Linked DNA regions of Anolis sagrei. The protein of the gene in region 1 interacts with the protein of each later gene in a pairwise test. Links are inferred from orthologs where the notes say so. Each region holds a gene or a part of one and is shown on either strand. Other genes may lie near its edges.

Region 1 (9,085 bases):
ACATAAACGAACAGCAGAACGTTGGATAAGCGAAAATGTTGGAAAATAAGGAGGGGTAAAACGCCAAATTACATTATGATTTTACAAATTAAGCATCAAAACATCATGTTTCACAACAAATCGACATAAAAAGCAGTTCAATACACAATAATGTTATGTAGCAATTCTTGTATTTACAAATTTAGCACCAAAACATCGCAATGTAATGAAAAAGCTGTGGATCGGGCAGGAGGCAGACTGCGTTGGATAATACAGAACGTTGGATGAGCGAAGGTTGGATAAGTGAGACTCTACTGTTTAAAGATCCCCACATTTGGCCATAGTAATGGAATTGCCTGAGAGAAATCCCTTCTAGAACTTAAAAGCAAGATCTTTACACCAATGCCAATTGCCTCTCTAGCATACATTTCTGTTTGTTACTTGTGATATTTAATTTATGACTAATAATTCTTAAGATTCCACTGTGTGCAACCTAAGATGTTTTAAAAGAACTCAAGGCAGTTGAAGGGTGTGTTGGGAAAAAATGTCTCTTAAAATATGCAGAACTGAGATTGAACACTTGGATGACAATCTGGGCTTGGTCAGGAATACTGAGAACCCTATCTTTTACCCATCTCAGTTGGGAGAGCACCAAAACAGGAAACAGAGTTCAAACCTTATTTATCTACTAGCTTACTTGTTCTCCTTGATTTGTTTCTATGTTGAGTGAACTACTTTAAAAAAATCATTATACACATAATCTAAACTTCACCATTAAGACCACCAGTTGTCACTTGCAGATACCAATGTCTAGTTTGATTTCCATGTTCAGAGAGTATCCGATTATTTTAAGGCATGTTATCTGCCCCTTTTGTTTATGTGCTGACTCCACCCCCACCCCCACTGCCCACAAAAAAAAACAGTTTGTCATTTGACTGAAATAATTATGTTTTATGTTCAAGACAGCTCACCTCCATGTAGGAAATCATGGCATTTACTGGTAGATTTTATGCATTTATATGAACTATCTCCTCAAACTGGAACCTATGGCAACATACAAGTTTTAAACACAAAACATTTAAAGAGTAAAACACAAACTATAATATATAAAAACTATCCCATTCCTACTATTTTGGACAACTATATACCAGTAACTTATTTACCATTCATTACCAAGAACCTGGAATGGGTGGTGGCCAAACAACTCCAAAGATTTTTGGATAAAGCTGATTTTCTAGATCCATTTCAATCTGGATTCAGGCTGGGACATGTGATGGAAATAGCTTTAGTTGCCTTGAGTTGCCTTGAGAGCAGAGAGCTGGACAGGGGGAGTGTGACCCTGCCAGTCCTTCTGGATCTCTCAGCGGCTTTCAATACTATCAACCATGATATCCTTCTGGAGTGACTTGCGAGGATGGGACTGGGAGGCACAGTGTTGCAGTGGTTCGTCTTTCCTTTTGGGCCACCGCCAGAAGGTGGTGTCGGGTGGGGAGGTCCTGCTCAGCCCCATGGTCTGTGGACTGTGTGGTCCCGCAGGGCTCATCTTTATCCCCAATGTTGTTTAACATCTACATGAAACCACTGGGAGAGATCATCCAGAGGTTTGGAATTCAGTATCATCCATACGTGGATAATGCTAATCTCTATTACTCCTTTCCAACAGATGCCAAGGAAGTCGTTCCACACCTGAACCAATGCTTGAGGTTGGTAATGGACTGGATGAGGGTAAACAAATTGATGCTTATTCCAGATAAGATGGAGGTACTGCTGGCCTTGCGTAAGATTGATCCAGAAATAGGGTTACAACTTGAGCTGGATGGGGTTACACTCCCCCTGAAATCCCAGGTTTGGGGATGATTCTGGATTCTGCCTTAAATCTGGAAGCCCAGGTGGCAAGGTAACCAGGACTGCCTTTGCACAACTAAAACTTGTGTGCCAACTGCACCCATTCATGGAGAAATATGACTTGGTCACTGTGGTACATTTGGACTACTGTAATGTGCTCTACATGGGACTGCCCTTGAAAAGTGTTACTTACCAGGTTACTTATGGAAGTTGATTCCAGGAAGCACACCTGTTGAAACAGCTCCATTGGCTCCTGATTTGTTTCTGGGTCCAATTCAAGGTGCCGGTTTTAATCTATAAAGCCCTGCATGACTACCAGCCTGTATAGGGCGTCCGTGTCCCCGTATACGGGCCAGTAGACCTCTAAATTGTTTTTAAATTGTTTTTAAATGGTGTTCAATTTTAGCCTGTTCTTGTAAGCCGCTCTGAGCCCCAGGGGAGTGGCGGCATATAAGTTCAAATAATAAATAAATAAATAAGGTCTAGTAAGGAGACCCTGATTTTTACACAGTCCCTGGCCAACATCCACTTAAAAATCACTAGAGAAGGGACATTCTTGGGGGCGGCTTCTAAGTTGTGGAACTCACTGCCAGAGGAAATTAGATTGGTTCCCACCATCATGATATAAGAAAGACATGAAGACTTTCCTCTTCGAAGCAACTGAAGCCAGTAAAAATGAATTCAAAAGAATGGGAATTTTAGGCTAAAATTTACTTTTAATGTTTAATAATGAGGAAAGTTTTAAAGAATTAGTGAACCTCTAATATTTGTATAGTTATGGTTTTTAATTATTTGTATGTCTGATATAATGTGAGCCGCTTTGGGTTCATACTGGAGAAAGGCAGCATAGAAATTTCCGTAACAAATAAAATAAATACATTGAATTAAAAGCAATCCAACACACAATTAAAAAGCACCGAATCCTTCCTCAACAGTCATTAAAAGCTTGACCTGCTGACAAGGCTAGACAATCCCATATCAAATGTCTTGCTTGGCCCGATCTGCAGCTACTGCATTCTGCTGACTGTAATTACAGAGCTCTATTAGACTGGGAACCTTGTTTAACATGTAAGACTTAGTAATTATGTTCACTTAAACACATTGACACCACTTTTAGATGCCTTTCATATCAACATTTGGTGGGGAAGTGGAAAGGGCAGGTCAAAAGCGTGGTTCCTTGGTATTCTGTATGAGGCTTAGGAAAAATGAACTAGAACTAGATCCTCACAATTATCAAAATGGGTGTACCTACAATCAAGATGTCTTCAAAATAACATGTGAAGATGTTTATAGTGTCAAAGAGGGAGACAGCTTGCATAGCATCATCTGACACTGCTTCTCCTAGAGGAAATCCAAGAGATGACTCACTAGGACTCCTTCTACACTGCCATATAATCCAGATTATCAAAGCGGATAATCCACATTATCTGCTTTGAACTGGATTGTATGAGTTTACACTGGCATATAATCCAGTTCAAAACAGATAATCTGGATTTTATATGGAGGTGGAAGAGGCCTAGTTCCTGCATGAAAGACTATCTAATGAAGGAGAGTCTGTCCTTCCTACAGATGATCGGCTTTGTTTTTGAACAGCTCTTATCATGAAGAGGTTTTTTCCTGATGTTCAATTGAAATCTGTCCTCCTATAATTTGAAGACATTTACTCTAGTCTGTGGCAAAAATGATTTTGTGAATAACTTCAGGTCCTGGATTTTAATAGCTTGCAATTCTGGGAGCTGTTGCCTAAATCATGAAGTTGCAAAGTTCTGCAGTAACAAGACTGTTATCATTCCCATTCCCCTTCATCAGGATAAACATGACGAGTTCTTCAAACTTTTCACATAGGACTTCTTTTTGTTCTGCTGTCCATATGTGAAAATGTTCTTCCTTCCTTATGTTCCAATTCAGCTTTATCTGTCAGTCAGGGATGAGCACAGTATACTGTAGCCTCCATTGACCCTAGCCAGCATCACCAACCTGAGAGTTGCAGTCCAGCAGCATCTGTAAGGGCCCAATTTGCCTGTTCTAAATGTACAGTGCCCAAAATTGGATATTGTGCTACAGCAGAGTTCCCTATATGTCAGGAAAAAAGAGAGAAGAGAAATAGAAAGGGTAAACACAGAACAAAAAACCAAGTAGACTGGAGTGTCCAATATCCACAGATATCAACTCAAGATCTTCTGTTACATCATGCTGTGCAGGAAGGCATTCTTCCATTTCTAGCTTCAAGGCTGTTATTGGGGGACTGCTCTGATAAGCATATTAGCTGCAATATTGTCCTCCACTGTCTTCTTCTGTGAGTTTTTAATTCACACTTTGAATTCTTTGTGCTTTCATGAGGCACCCATGGTTCCTCATGCAGAAAATATTTTTCTCAGAATTTCTGATGCCAACTCTTGAGACATAAAAACTCTGTACTCCATGCAGATTGTAGGACACACTTACAACTGCTATAAAGTAGACATATGTTCAGCAATTCACACAGAAATACACATGTTTCATTCTACAAACACACTGAATACAATCTGATGATTATCTACACCATAGTTCAGGATTCTCGAAACCTATCTTTACAATTTCAGCAGTATGTATGTACACAGTACATACTGTGTATCTGATGAAACTATGGATAACATTGAATCCTATAGTTTACCAATACTTGGATCAGAAACATATAATAAAATAACACTGGAGAAGCTAGGGAGGTGCACAACACTTCCAGGACATTTGCTCTTTTTTTTCCCCTTCCCTTTTTTTGGTGCTGGTTATTGACCTTATTTATTTATATCCCGCTTTATCTCTGCTGCAATATTATTAGTAATATTATATTATTACATATGATTGTATTGTACTATATTACTCTACCACTCTCTACATGTATTGCCATGTTTAAGTAATAATGCTGATTTTGGTGCATCCTCCATATTTGTATTCTTATTCTTATTTATTTAAATACCCTTTTCCAAAATTGTTGTATAATTTTACAGGATCACTATATATGAAAATATGAGCCTATTTCCTGACAGCCTCTCCAGTACTGATTTAAGCATTTTTATCTATCTGATTTAATCTAATCGGGATCAAGTACCATATCCATACCGTTTTGTAATAGTTTTCCTTAATTATTATGGACATATTTTTATTTAGTAATCGCATACGCCATACCCTGGCCCATTCTTGGTTCTCCCACCGGTATATTACACGATTAGTATAATAAATATGTATGTTCCTGTGAAAAGGGCCTTGGGAGCGCTATGGATCCCAAACGGAACCTGAGCCAACAGAGGAATCTCGCGTTGTTTGAGGGAGAAACAGCTTGGGTGGCGTAGTCGAAGATCTCGGACTTGCCGGCCCCTTTAAGAAACGCGGTACTTATTTCCTCATTGGTCTGAGCCAGGACCAATCAAATTCCAGTTCTCTTCTCGCGCTTCAACCTGATTGGCTGCTTCCTTCCGGGCGTCAGCTCTGCTCTCCGCAAAATCTCCCTTCCGACTTCGGCATCTGTTGTAACCAGTAAAGCAGCTCGCCGCGCTCTCTTCGGGGTGGTGGATTCCCATTGGCTGAGCAGCGCGCGCATGCGCCGGCCGGGAAAAAGAAGCCTGAAACTCTCTTCCTTCCCGGAGGAGCCGCGGTCTGGGTTTGCCAGAGCCGTGACGTCACCTGGGTCCGCGCGACGCCTTCCTCGTGTCGCGTGCGTGCGTGCCTGGTGGCCCACCTGACCCCCCCCTCCCTCCCTCCCTCCCCCGCCTCGCGCGTTTTCTCCTCACCCAACATGGCGGCGGGGGCCGTGGAAGAGCCGTTCCCCTTCCAGGGGCTTCTTCCCAAAAAGGAGACCGGCGCGGCCGCCTTCCTCTCCCGCTACCCGGAGCATGACGGGCGGGGGGTGCTAGTGGCCATTTTGGACACGGGGGTAGACCCCGGCGCCCCGGGGATGCAGGTAAGCGGGGCGGGCGTGACCTGTTGGTGGGGCTGCTTTTGGCTTGTCTGAGGGAAGAAGTTTGGGATCAGGAGGGATTTATGATGACTTCTGAGGGCCTCTGTTTAGAGGAAAGTACAGTAGGGAATTTTCTTAGGCCCTCAGAGGAGTAATCGCGCTCATCAGCATCCAGTGCCTGAAATGGTCAGAATTTAGTCGTTTGTAGAAACGAGCCGCAACCACAGGGAAAGCCCTGCTGAATCCAGCCAAAGGCCTTTCAAGCCCAGCATCCTGTTTCTTACACAGATTGAGGGTTTTCTGAAATGCTTGGGAAATCCACCAGAAGTGTAGATTTGACCTTATATTTTATTAGTATCGGTGTCTGTCCTTGATCTGTGTATATTTAAATCTATGCACTTTTATCTGGGTTTTGCATTTTATCTGAGTTTTCACCATGCTGTACCCTGTCTCAAGCCATGAAAAGAACCGCATAACAAGGAAAATGTATTATTAATATGTGATTTCAGATTATTGTTGTTGTTGTTGTTGTTGTTATATGGATCTCCCGGTGGCACAATGGGTTAAACCCTTGTGCTGGCAGGACTGCTGACCGAAAGATCGGCGGTTTGAATCCAGGGAGTGGGGTGAGCACCTGTCTGTCAGCTCTAGCTCCCCGTGCAGGGACACAAGAGAAGCCTCCCACAGAATGGTAAAACATCAAATATATATATATTGGCATTGAATCTTGCCAATACTTTTTGTACACGGCTTTGAACCCCCCCCCCCCCAGGAGTGAGAATATAAATGCAGTAAATAGAGAAATATCCGGGTGTCCCCTGAGCAACATCCTTGCAGAAGGAAAAATCTCTCACACCAGAAGCGCCTTGCAATTTCCTAAGTTGTTCCTGACACAAAAACATTATTATTATTTTGGGTTACCTGTATTTATTCCCATCTACATGATGAAAGATTTCTGGGATGTGATCCAAACATAACATTCATTTATGCATGTTATGTTTAAACACATAGCCTGGGGGTAATTGTATATGCTACATTTGTAATAATTTAGTGCATGGAACAAAGCTTGTGTACACTGAACCATCAGGAAACAAAGGTGTCACTATTTCAGCTTCCCATGTGGATGATTTTGCATCTCAGAGTATTTTGGAATCCCAGAGAAAGCATGCTCATGATGTCTGTAGTGGGAAGCTTGCAAGCATAACGTGAATTGTCTTGTTTTGTAGTGTCCTCTGAAATTGTTTCTTTGGATACAATACCACTGAATTGTTGAGGTAGCACATTATGTTTGGAGGCACTAACAGAATTATTGTTGTAATTGAAATAAAGGTTCTGCAGGAACCTGGTTTATTGTGCATATGTAAGCAAATCATAGATTTAGCATGACATCCAGAGCCGATAGGATAGAGGTTTCCAAATATTTCATGTTGGTGACACACGTTTTAAACACATATCATTTTGTGACACAGTAATTCAGTTTTACTATCAAACCGGAGTTTAAACCAATTCCTGATAAGAGATACAGGTACATACATAATTTGGAATAACAAAATGTATATCTCATATTTATTTTTATTTCACATAAACACAGAGGTTTCTCATTATTTTCGTGCAACACATTTACACACTACAACCAACACATAGTTTGGAAAGTTCTGCAATAGAAGAATACTTTTCGAACTTGAAATACTTTTGCCCCAAATATCTGATCACCTCAATTAACCTTTTGGCAGGTGTTGGCAGAGGACTGCATTGACATTTGGCTTCCTCTGGTTCTATAGGCTTCATTTTGTTCATTCCTGTGCTGAACATATCCTGAAAGCCATGTTTTCTTTGCTTACTTTCAGCAAGTGAGTGCTTTTGGACCAAAGGATTCAGTATGCTAGTTCATGTATAACTAGCTTGGATTCTGCTACTGATAGTGGTGTCTGCAAAAGCCTGTAGAATGGTAGAAAACAAATGTCTTTTTTAATGGCAAAATGAAATCACTTGGGTTTGTTGCAGTGGAAGAGCTTGTGGTTGCATTAAGATACTTGAAGAATGACCAGAAATTTTGTTTTGGAGCAGATTTAAAAATGTATCATTTTTTAGTTGTAGGAATGCCACCCTCTCGTAAACACTTTATTCATCTTCCTAAAGAAAATCATTCCACAACAATCTGTTCATTTTTCCTTCTATTTTTAAATGGCATCTTGGAGAGGGAGGATATTTTATAGACTTTCACAAATCTATGTGATTTCATTTCAGTGAGCAAAAGCAAACCAGTTCTTTCTTAGTAGGGATTGGGTCATATCCTCTAACTATAGTTATGCTTACTGTGTATTATGAATGAGGATTTTTTGTAGTGTTAGCTGCTAATCAGAATTAGATCAAGGGAACACCTTGTTTACACCCTGAGGAGGAAGGAGTATACATTTTTTAATATGTGGGAGCATGACACCAAAGGATGTTTGCTTTTGTGAAGTCAGTGTTCAGGCAGCAGTGATGATTATAATGTTTGCCACTTATAAGGGTGGATAATACATTAGATGTGCTATTAAAGAAAAGTATTTCTGCCTGTAAATGGACTGACATTACTGTATATAGTGTGTAAGTTAACCTCTTGTGTAAGTTGAGGGCAGATTTAATTATGGATTTTGATTTCATATGATCTGTGGATAAGTTGAGGGTCATTCTGGGAAGAGAGATAAAGCACCAAGTGCCTCATTGAGATCAGCTGCCAGTGGCTGTCACTACCATTTTACCACCCAGGAATTCAAATAGGCCTGATCTATTACTAGATATTTATTAGGTCTGTTGGTTTACTTGTGGTTTTGCTGCAGTTTATCTCAGGGATAGTATGAGCTCCTTCCCTTTTTGGCTGCCAAGAGCGGGAAGGTAGCAGTTTACTTGTGAGTAAGCAAATCGACCATCTCGCCTCAGTTGCCTAGGCTTATCTCCTATCTCAACTGTTGCTCCAATTGCTGTTGCTTTCCCCTGCTCAGATCAGAAGACCCTGGGCTCACACTTCTATTCCGGCCCTGTCTTTTGTGATAGGTGGCAATGCACTCCTCTGTCTCCCATGTTGCAGGACAGCCATGGAGACTCAAGGGCTATCAGCTGCATTCTATAGTGAGAAGAGCTCTAAGTTCGGTTCTGCCAGCATGGTGAGTCCTCCAAAGCTAGAGAATCAAAGCAGGAGTACTAGTTTAAGACGTCTCGTTGGTTACGAATGGGATGGTGGCAATGGGTAAAGAAAATCAGCATGAGTAAAGGAGACGTAATCTTCCATTTGCTTATTCATGAGTAAAACACCTCTTTCGTCCTTTGAGCGGCCCAGAGGGACCT
Region 2 (8,959 bases), on another chromosome or scaffold:
GTAGTAGTAGTAGTAAATAAAGTTTATTATTATTATTATTATTATTATTATTATTATTATTATCATTACTACTACTACTACTACTACTACTAAAGCTGCAGTTCAATATAAGCAGGTGTGCCTATAGCCTGTACCCACTTTTTCCTTCCAGCCACTTGGAGTACTCCCACTGGACATCTGAGCTCTTTTGGTGAAGCTTCACTCAGACACTATCTGGCAATACCGACCACTATCCCTGTGTCCCGGCGTTAAAACACTCACCGTTTGTTATGATGGCACTTGTTGCTGCCGGGACTTTGAACTAAACAGAACAGAAGCACAACGTATTAAAGGAAATCGGGATACCATAATCACTCATATCGTGCAACTATGACCCTCCCCACCGCTGGTGCCGACATATACCACATGCCCAAAAGGGAAGCCAGGTTGCTGGAAGGGAACATGAACCAGCCATAAAGATCAATTGCCCTGATGTGTGTGAATCGGAACTCTGGTATGTGGGAATTTCAGTGATTTATGAAATTGTAGGTAAAATCATATATGGGCTTAGAACTCAGGTATGTTGGACGAGTAAGCTTAATAACAAAAGACCCTCCTCATAAATGTACAGCAGTGTGAATCAGTAGCTCAAAGTGAGATAAAGAACAAAAACACGCAGACCAATGAAGAGAGGGGCCATGAAGCCAGTTCCAACTTGTCTCCAGTGTCATCAGTTGGGAGCCCCCTCTCCCCCAAGAACCAACTGCTGCTCTGAGATCAGAATGAAGAGACGGGCCATGAAGACAGTTCCAACTTGTCTCCAGTGTTATCAGTTGGGAGCCCTCACCCTCCAGCAACAACCGCTGCTCTGAGATCAGAATGAAGAGAGGGGCCATGAAGGCAGTTCCAAATTGCCTCCAGTGTCATCAGTTGAGAGCCCCCCCCCCCCCCAAGAACCAACTGCTGCTTTGAGATCAGAATGAAGAGAGGGGCCATGAAGACAGTTCCAACTTGCCTCCTGTGTCACCAGTTGGGGACCCCCCCCCCCCCCAAAAAAAACCAACTGCAGCTCTGAGATCAGAATGAAGGGACGAGCCATGGAAGCAGTTCCAACTTGTCTCCAGTGTCATCAGTTGGGAGCCCCCCCCCCCCCCAAGAAACCAACTGCTGCTCTGAGATCAGAATGAAGAGAGGGGCCTTCCTAGGCAGTTCCATCTTGTCTCCTGCACTGTGCTTATAATATAATATATTGTATATACATATATTGATAATATTGTAATGTATTAAATGTAATATTACTAATAATACTACAGTATAATGTTACAGTACAATATACTATATTTATCTAAAACTTTTATATCCCGATCTTCTCAACCTCCATAGATAATAATAATATATCGTATTTACTTTTTACTTGTAAGCTGCTCTGAGTCCCCTTCGGGGTAAGAAGGGCGGCATATAAATGTCGTAAATAAATAAATAAAATCTCTTCCACAGGAGGCTTTTGTTTGTAGTAAAATATAGGAATGCACTATTTAAAATAACAAGTTTTCCAAATAAACACAAATAAAGTTCTTTATACTTCCTTCTTTGCTTCCACCCTGGGCTTCTTTCTCATGCAGATAAACAGCTTCTAGTTTCACTCTCACAGAGCTTCCTCCCACGCCAAACTTACACGAGAGCTTCAACAGTAGCTTCACGCACAGCAGCCTTCACACTGGAGCTTCACCCACAATGGCTTTCAACCTAGGGCTTCCTCTCACTGAAGCTTCTCACACCAGGCCCACTCACACTGAGGCCTACTCCTACAAAGGCCTTCTCATACTGAGGCCTCTCTCACTCTGAGGGGTAAAGGCTACAGGCTGAGTTGCTATGGGTTTAGTCTTCTCACAAAAAATACTCCAAGACTCACAGGAGTTAAAGATACTCATGAGAAGTATCCATAGCAACACAAAGTTGATGCAAAGAGCCATTGCATGGGACCATACTTGGACATGCTTTATGCCAAAGACTAACAGTGCAATTCTGCTCTAGCAAGGGCATAAAGGTGTCCTGATGCTCCTACGTAACTGCTGCTTTTATTCCCTGCTTTGGGAATCTCTTGAAACAAATCAAGTAAAAAAGCACAAGAAAATGGCAACCATGACATTGTTTGGGAAAATAAGAGAGCAACTTACTTCTTCTGCAGCAAATTTCAAGACAGCCGTGAACGGTGTGACTTCAGGCACGCTCAGTCTACAGGAAACCGGAAATAACACAACTGTGAGACCAGAACACAAATCATGGGATCATGGAGTAGCTGTTTCACAGGGCCTTGAGCCTTCTCTGCCTAAGAGTGCCTGTGCCTCACCAAACTACAGCTTCCTGCATCCCACAGCATTGAGATTTGGCAGCTCAAGTGGTGTTAAACTGCATTAATCCCACAGTGAAGGGGGCAATGGGCACCTATTTAATTTGATTAATAAATAGCAATGGTATGAGGAATAGTTTGGGCAAATAAATAGCCTTAGTCTTTAGTGTTAGAATCTGGCATGAGAAAAACAGCCTGACAGGAAAATAAAACACAAACAAAAAACAGGCCCAGCAATAAACAGGCCATCACCCTTTTTAGAGATACAAAAGGAGACATCAGTTGAAAGTCTGGAATGCCAAACTGCATTAAATCACTACTGACCAAGTAGCCAGCTGCATTAAATCACTACTGAACAAGAGGTCATGACTTCGAAGCCAGCCCGGGTCAGAGTGAGCTCCCAACCATTAATAGTCTAGTTTGCTGTTGACTTATGCAGCCCAAATACAGTTGCATCTGTCAAGTAGAAAATTTAGGTACCACTTTATGCGGGGAGGCTAACTTAACTAATTTACCACACCATAAAACCTTCCAGCAGTGTGCATAAGAATGAGGAAGTACTCCATCAAGGACTCGGTGTTACAAGCGAATGGTGAAGCGGCAGCTCCCCCTGTGGTCGGAATCAAGCATACCCTCATGAAGCCAGAAAGCTGGAATGTTAAATTGTCTATGTCTGTCTATATATGTTGCATGTCTAAAGGCATTGAATGTTTGCCATGTAAATGTGCCTTGTAATCCACCCTGAGTCCCTTGTGGGGTGAAAAGGTTGGAATACTGTAAATAAATAAATAAACGAACTATTGGTGGGTTGTTGTAGGTTTTTTCGGGCTGTATGGCCATGGTCTAGAGGCATTCTCTCCTGACATTTCGCCTGCATCTATGGCAAGCATCCTCAGAGGTAGTGAGGTCTGTTGGAACTAGGAAAAAGGGGTTTATCTATCTGTGGAATGACCAGGGTGGGACAAAGGACTCTTGTCTGCCGGCCATAGGTTCTTAAATCCTTGTGTGCTACAGTTTATTGGTTATTGTTTATATGTGATTTATATTAATTGTATTGTGTTTATTGTTTTGTTTGTTGCTTTTGTTTTTATTGATGTGTCGTTGGGCTTGGCCTCATGTAAGCTGCTCCAAGTCCCTTGGGGAGATGGTGGCGGGGTATAAATAATAGAATCACCCCCGACAGATGGCCATCCAGCCTCTGTTTAAAAGCTTCCAAAGAAGGAGCCTCCACCACACTCCAGGGCAGAGAGTTCCACTGCTGAACAGATCTCAGCCAGGAACTTCTTCCTAATGTTCAGTTGGAATCTCCTTTTTTGTAGTTTGAAGCCATTGTTCTGCATCCTCGTCTCCAGGGAAGCAGAAAACAAGCTTGCTTCCTCCTCCCTGTGGCTTCCTCTCCCATATTTATACATGGCCCCCATGTCTCCTCTCAGCCTCCTCTTCTTAAGGCTAAACATGCCCAGCTCCTTAAGCCGCTCCTCATAGGGCTTGTTCTCCAGACCCTTGATCATTTTAGTCGCCCTCCTCTGGACACATTCCAGCTTGTCAATATCTCTCTTGAATTGTGGTGCCCAGAATTGGACACAATATTCCAGGTGTGGTCTAACCAAGGCAGAATAGACGGTTAGCATGACTTCCCTGGATCTAGACACTAGAATCATAGAATCCTAGAGAAAATGTTTTCTTTATGTCGTCGCTATCCGAATATTTTGATTATCGTATTAATATTAATCTTCATTTTTTCCTGCAAGTACTTTTTGAGTTGGTTCCAATTGGTTTGATTTTCCTTTTTCTGATTTTTAATTAGCTGTGACAGTCTATCCATATTCATAAATTCTCCAATCTTGGAGAGCCAATTCTCTATTATTGGGGGGTCTTTGTCTTTCCATTTTGGGGCGATCGTAATTCTCGCTGCGGCTGTGAGATAAAAAAGAATTTCTTCGTTTTTCCCAATTTCAAAATCCATTATATTCAACAGGTAGTATTCGGGTTTCAATTCGTATTTTATTTTGATAATATTTTTACAGGGCCTGTGGATTGTTATCCAGTATTTCTTAATGATCTTACAATCCCACCACATGTGGTGGTATGATCCCATTTCTCTTTCGCATTTCATAGAATCATAGAATCGAAGAGTTGGAAGAGACCTCATGGGCCATCCAGTCCAACCCCCTGCCAAGAAGCAGGAACATTGCATTCAAATCACCCCTGACAGATGGCCATCCAGCCTCTGTTTAAAAGCTCCCAAAGAAGGAGCCTCCACCACTCTCCGGGGCAGAGAGTTCCACTGCTGAACGGCTTTATAATAATAATAATAATAATAATAATAATAAAGTTTTTTTATTATTATAAAGAAATTGGAAGGAATAGAAGAGGAAGAGGAGGAAGGAAGGAAGGAGAGAATGAAAGAAAAAAAGGGAGGGAAAGAAGGATAGAAAGAAAGGAGGAAAGAAAGAAAAGAGAGGGGATGGTTGGCCACAGCAAGGCGTGGCGGAGGGGGGGGGGTAAAGCTAGTAATAATAATAAAAACTTTAACATTATAGACCAGTGATTCTCAACCTGGGGTCCCCAGATGTTTTTGACCTACAACTCCCAGAAATCCCAGCCAGTGTAGCAGCTGTTAGGATTTCTGGGAGTTGAAGGCCAAAAACATCTGGGGACCCCAGGTTGAGAACCACTGTTGTAGACTGATTCTACAGGTTGCCGGAAGTGACAACTCACAGCCTTCTATCTCTCTCTCTCCCGCCCCTCCCTCTGGAAAGCGACGTGTCCAATGCACCTCCCGCGCATGCGCAGTGCCCTCCCCAGGCGTCTCCCTTCCCTCAGGTCTCAGGGACTCACACTTTGTAAGGCAGCCGCGGGTCGGAGGTGAGCGTGACTTTGAACGTGACTTTGGACCTGTGGGAAAGGCGGAGAGGAAAGGCGTCAGCGTGGCCGAGAAAGAGCCGCCAAACGGAGAGAAAAGCTGCCCGCGGACTCACATTTTGATCGCCTCCGGCTGCTGCAGGGCCCACTTCCCGGCTCCGCGTGCTTCGTCACTTCCGGGGGTGTGTTTTTTCTCCTGTCAGGCCTTCCCACGTGACCTAACGCAGGGAGGGGCGGGGCTCTCTAGCCAAAGAGAGATTGAGAAGCTGCACCGGAAGTGGGGCGGGGCCAAGCCCGGAAGTGGTCGTGGCCAAGCCCGGAAGTGGGCATCATCAGAGCGCTGGAGGGCTTCCCGTCGCCATGAGCAAGAGGAAAGCCCCTCAGGAAAACCCCAACGACGGTATCACCGACTTCCTCACCGGTAGGTGGGCCTCAGGACGAAGACCAGCCCCGTGCATCAATAGGAGTGTGGTGGAGGCTCCTCCTTTCATAGAATCAAAGAGTTGGAAGAGCTGGAAGCCATCTGTCGGGAGGGATCAGATGTTGTTCTTCTACCTGGAATAGAATAATAGAATCGTAGGGTTGGAAGAGACCTCATGGGCCATCCAGTCCAACCCCCTGCCAAGAAGCAGGAATATTGCATTCAAATCACCCCTGACAGATGGCCATCCTGCCTCTCTTTAAAAGCTTCCAAAGAAGGAGCCTCCACCACACTCCGGGGCAGAGAGTTCCACTGCTGAACGGCTCTCACAGTCAGGAAGTTCTTCCTCATGCTCAGGTGGAATCTCCTTTTTTTGTAGTTTGAAGCCATTGTTCCATGTCCTAGTCTCCAGTGAAGCAGAAAACAAGCTTGCTCCCTCCTCCCTGTGGCTTCCTCTCACATATTTATAAATGGCTATCATATCTCCTCTCATCCTTCTCTTCTTCAGGTTAAACTTGCCCAGCTCCTTAAGCCGCTCCTCATAAGGCTTGTTCTCCAGACCCTTGATCATTTGAGTCACCCTCCTCTGGACACATTCCAGCTTGTCAATATCTCTCTTGAATTGTGGTGCCCAGAATTGGACACAATATTCCAGGTGTGGTCTAACCAAAGCGGATTAGAGCATGGGGAGCATGACTTCCCTAGATCTAGACACTAGACTCCTATTGATGCAGGCCAAAATCCCATTGGCTTTTTTTGCCGCCACATCACATTGTTGGCTCATATTTAACTTGTTGTCCACGAAGACTCCAAGATCTTTTTCACACGTACTGCTCTCAAGCCAGGCATTGTCCCCCATTTTGTATCTTTGCATTTCATTTTTTATGCCTAAGTGGAGTATCTTTCATTTGTCACTGTTGAACTTCATTTTGTTAGTTTTCTAATCTGTGTCTAATCTGTCAAGATCGTATTGAATCCTGCTCCTGTCCTCTGGACTATTGGCTATCCCTCCCAATTTGATGTTGTTTGCAAACTTGATGAACCTGCCTTCTAATCCTTGATCTAAGTCATTAATAAAGATGCTGAACAGGACCGGGCCCAGGACGGAACCCTGCTGATGGCACTCTGCTCGTCACTTATTTCCAGGATGAAGAGGAAGCATTGGGGAGAATCACCCTCTGGGTTTGTCCATTTAACCAATTACTGATCCACCTCACCGCAATTTTGCCTAACCCACATTGGACTAGTGGGGGCTTTTAAACAGAGGCTGGATGGCCATCTGTCAGGGGTGCTTTGAATGCAATATTCCTGCTTCTTGGTAGGGGGTTGGACTGGGTTGCCCATGAGGTCTCTTCCAACTCTAGGATTCTATTATTTTAGTGTCTAGATCCAGGGAAGTAATGCTCCCCATGCTCTTTTCTGCCTTGGTTAGACCACACCTGGAATATTGTGTCCAATTCTGGCCACCACAACTGAAGAGAGATATTGACACTCTAAAATAATCAAGGGTCTGGAGAACAAGCCCTATGAGGAGCAGCTTAAGGAGCTGGGCATGTTTAGCCTGAAGAAGAGAAGGCTGAGAGGAGACATGATAGCCATGTATAAATATGTGAGAGGAAGCCACAGGGAGGAGGGAGCAAGCTTGTTTTCTGCTTCCCTGTAGACTAGGATGCGGAACAATGGCTTCAAACTACAAGAGAGGAGATTTCATCTGAACATGAGGAAGAAATTCCTGACTGTGAGAGCTGTTTAGCAGTGGAACTCTCTGCCCTGGAGTGTGGTGGAGACTTCTTCTTTGGAAGCTTTTAAACAGAGGCTGGATGGCCATCTGTCAGGGGTACTTTGAATGCAATATTCCTGCTTTTTGGCAGGGGGTTGGACTGGATGGCCCATGAGATCTTTTCCAACTCTATGACTCTATGTGGGCTGGACAATGAGGTCGATCTGCCATAGGTTAAGCGACCGAACCCAAAGGGCGCTTCTCCCCAATGGCACCGGGATTGTGGCGCAGCTGGCTGAGTGTCAGCTGCATTAAGATCACTCTGACCAAAAGGTCATGAGTTCGAAGCCAGCCCGGGTTGGAATGGGTTTCCAACCAATTGTGTGTAGCCTGTTGTCGAGCTTTGCAACCCAAAAGACAGTTGCATCTGTCAAGTAGGAAAATAAGGTATCACCTTAAAGTGTGGGGAGGCTAAATTAACTGATTTATGAGCCATAAAGAAGACTCCAGCAAAGCATTCCAGCGGGGAAGCATGCGGGGAATGCGGAAGTGCTTCATCAGCATCGCAGATGGACGATGAAAGCGACAGCTTCCCTGGTGGCCAGAAAAAGTTAAATAGCCTCTGTATATGTCTGTATATGTTTGTATGTCAAAAAATTGGCATTGAATGTTTGCCATATATGTGTACACTGTAATCCGCCCTGAGTCCCCTGCGGGGTGAGAAGGGAGGAATATAAAAGCCGTTATAAATAAATAAATAAATAAATAATTAAATGGTTCCTCCTCTTCATCCTGGAAAGACGGGACTAGTGGAGTGCCAGGAAGAGGGTCCTGTCCTGGGCCCAGTTCTGCTCAACATCTTTATTAATGGCTTAGATGAAGGTACCTGTTGTTGTATTCTTTACTGCCACTTACATTTTTTGCAACAAATCCTCTTTTCAGAACTGGCCAACTATGAGAGAAATGTGAACAGAGCCATCCACAAATACAATGCTTACAGGTGAGGTCTCCATGACGGGAGGGAAGGAAGTATTTTAGGTTTTGATGGGAATATTGCTGCCAAAAAAAATGTTAGAAGAAAAGAACATCATATTTGTCCCTTTTCTTTTACAATTTGACTACCTGTCTGATACTGTTGCATTGTGTCAAGGGCAGCCTCCTTTAATCTGATACCAGTCTCTGTCTCTCCATCTCCTTTGGTGTAGTCTTGCAAGAAGGAAACGGCATACAGGAGGAACTTGATTTCACCTCTTATCCATGGAGAGGCAGGTTCTTCATTACCATATATACTAAAGTATAAGTCAACCCGAATATAAACAGAGGTTCCTAATTTTAGCACAAAAAACTGGAAAAACGTATTGACTCAAATATAAGCTGAGAGTGGGAAATACAGCAACTACTGGTAAATTTCAAAATAAAAATAGATACCAATAAAATTACTTTAATTGAGGGCTCAATAGGATAAATGTTTTTGAATATTTACATAAAATTGTAATTTAAGATAAGACTCTCCAACTCTGATTTAAACCATTATTCTAACCTTCTTCAGTGTGAATGTTCTTACATATCCTTCCAGTAAAGACAGTAAAATAATAAATGTGACAATAATAATAAGAGTAAAATA

What was found.
Region 2: the proteins of TPP2 (region 1) and POLB interact in binary tests that used the Homo sapiens proteins (3 or more experiments, as listed by UniProt). The two-hybrid records come from large-scale screens. The link is inferred for Anolis sagrei from reciprocal best matches to the Homo sapiens genes TPP2 and POLB.

Annotation. Positions count from the first base shown.
Region 1 is NC_090023.1:113,553,766-113,562,850, reverse strand, and holds the start of TPP2 (tripeptidyl-peptidase 2), read left to right. Parts: upstream 1-5,325; 5' UTR 5,326-5,596; coding exon 5,597-5,761; intron 5,762-9,085. UniProt on the Homo sapiens protein: Cytosolic tripeptidyl-peptidase that releases N-terminal tripeptides from polypeptides and is a component of the proteolytic cascade acting downstream of the 26S proteasome in the ubiquitin-proteasome pathway.
Region 2 is NC_090027.1:22,803,936-22,812,894, forward strand, and holds the start of POLB (DNA polymerase beta), read left to right. Parts: upstream 1-5,457; 5' UTR 5,458-5,554; coding exon 5,555-5,615; intron 5,616-8,277; coding exon 8,278-8,335; intron 8,336-8,959. Other genes in the region: UFM1 (ubiquitin-fold modifier 1), read right to left, coding at 262-301, 2,157-2,214, 5,171-5,227, 5,311-5,312.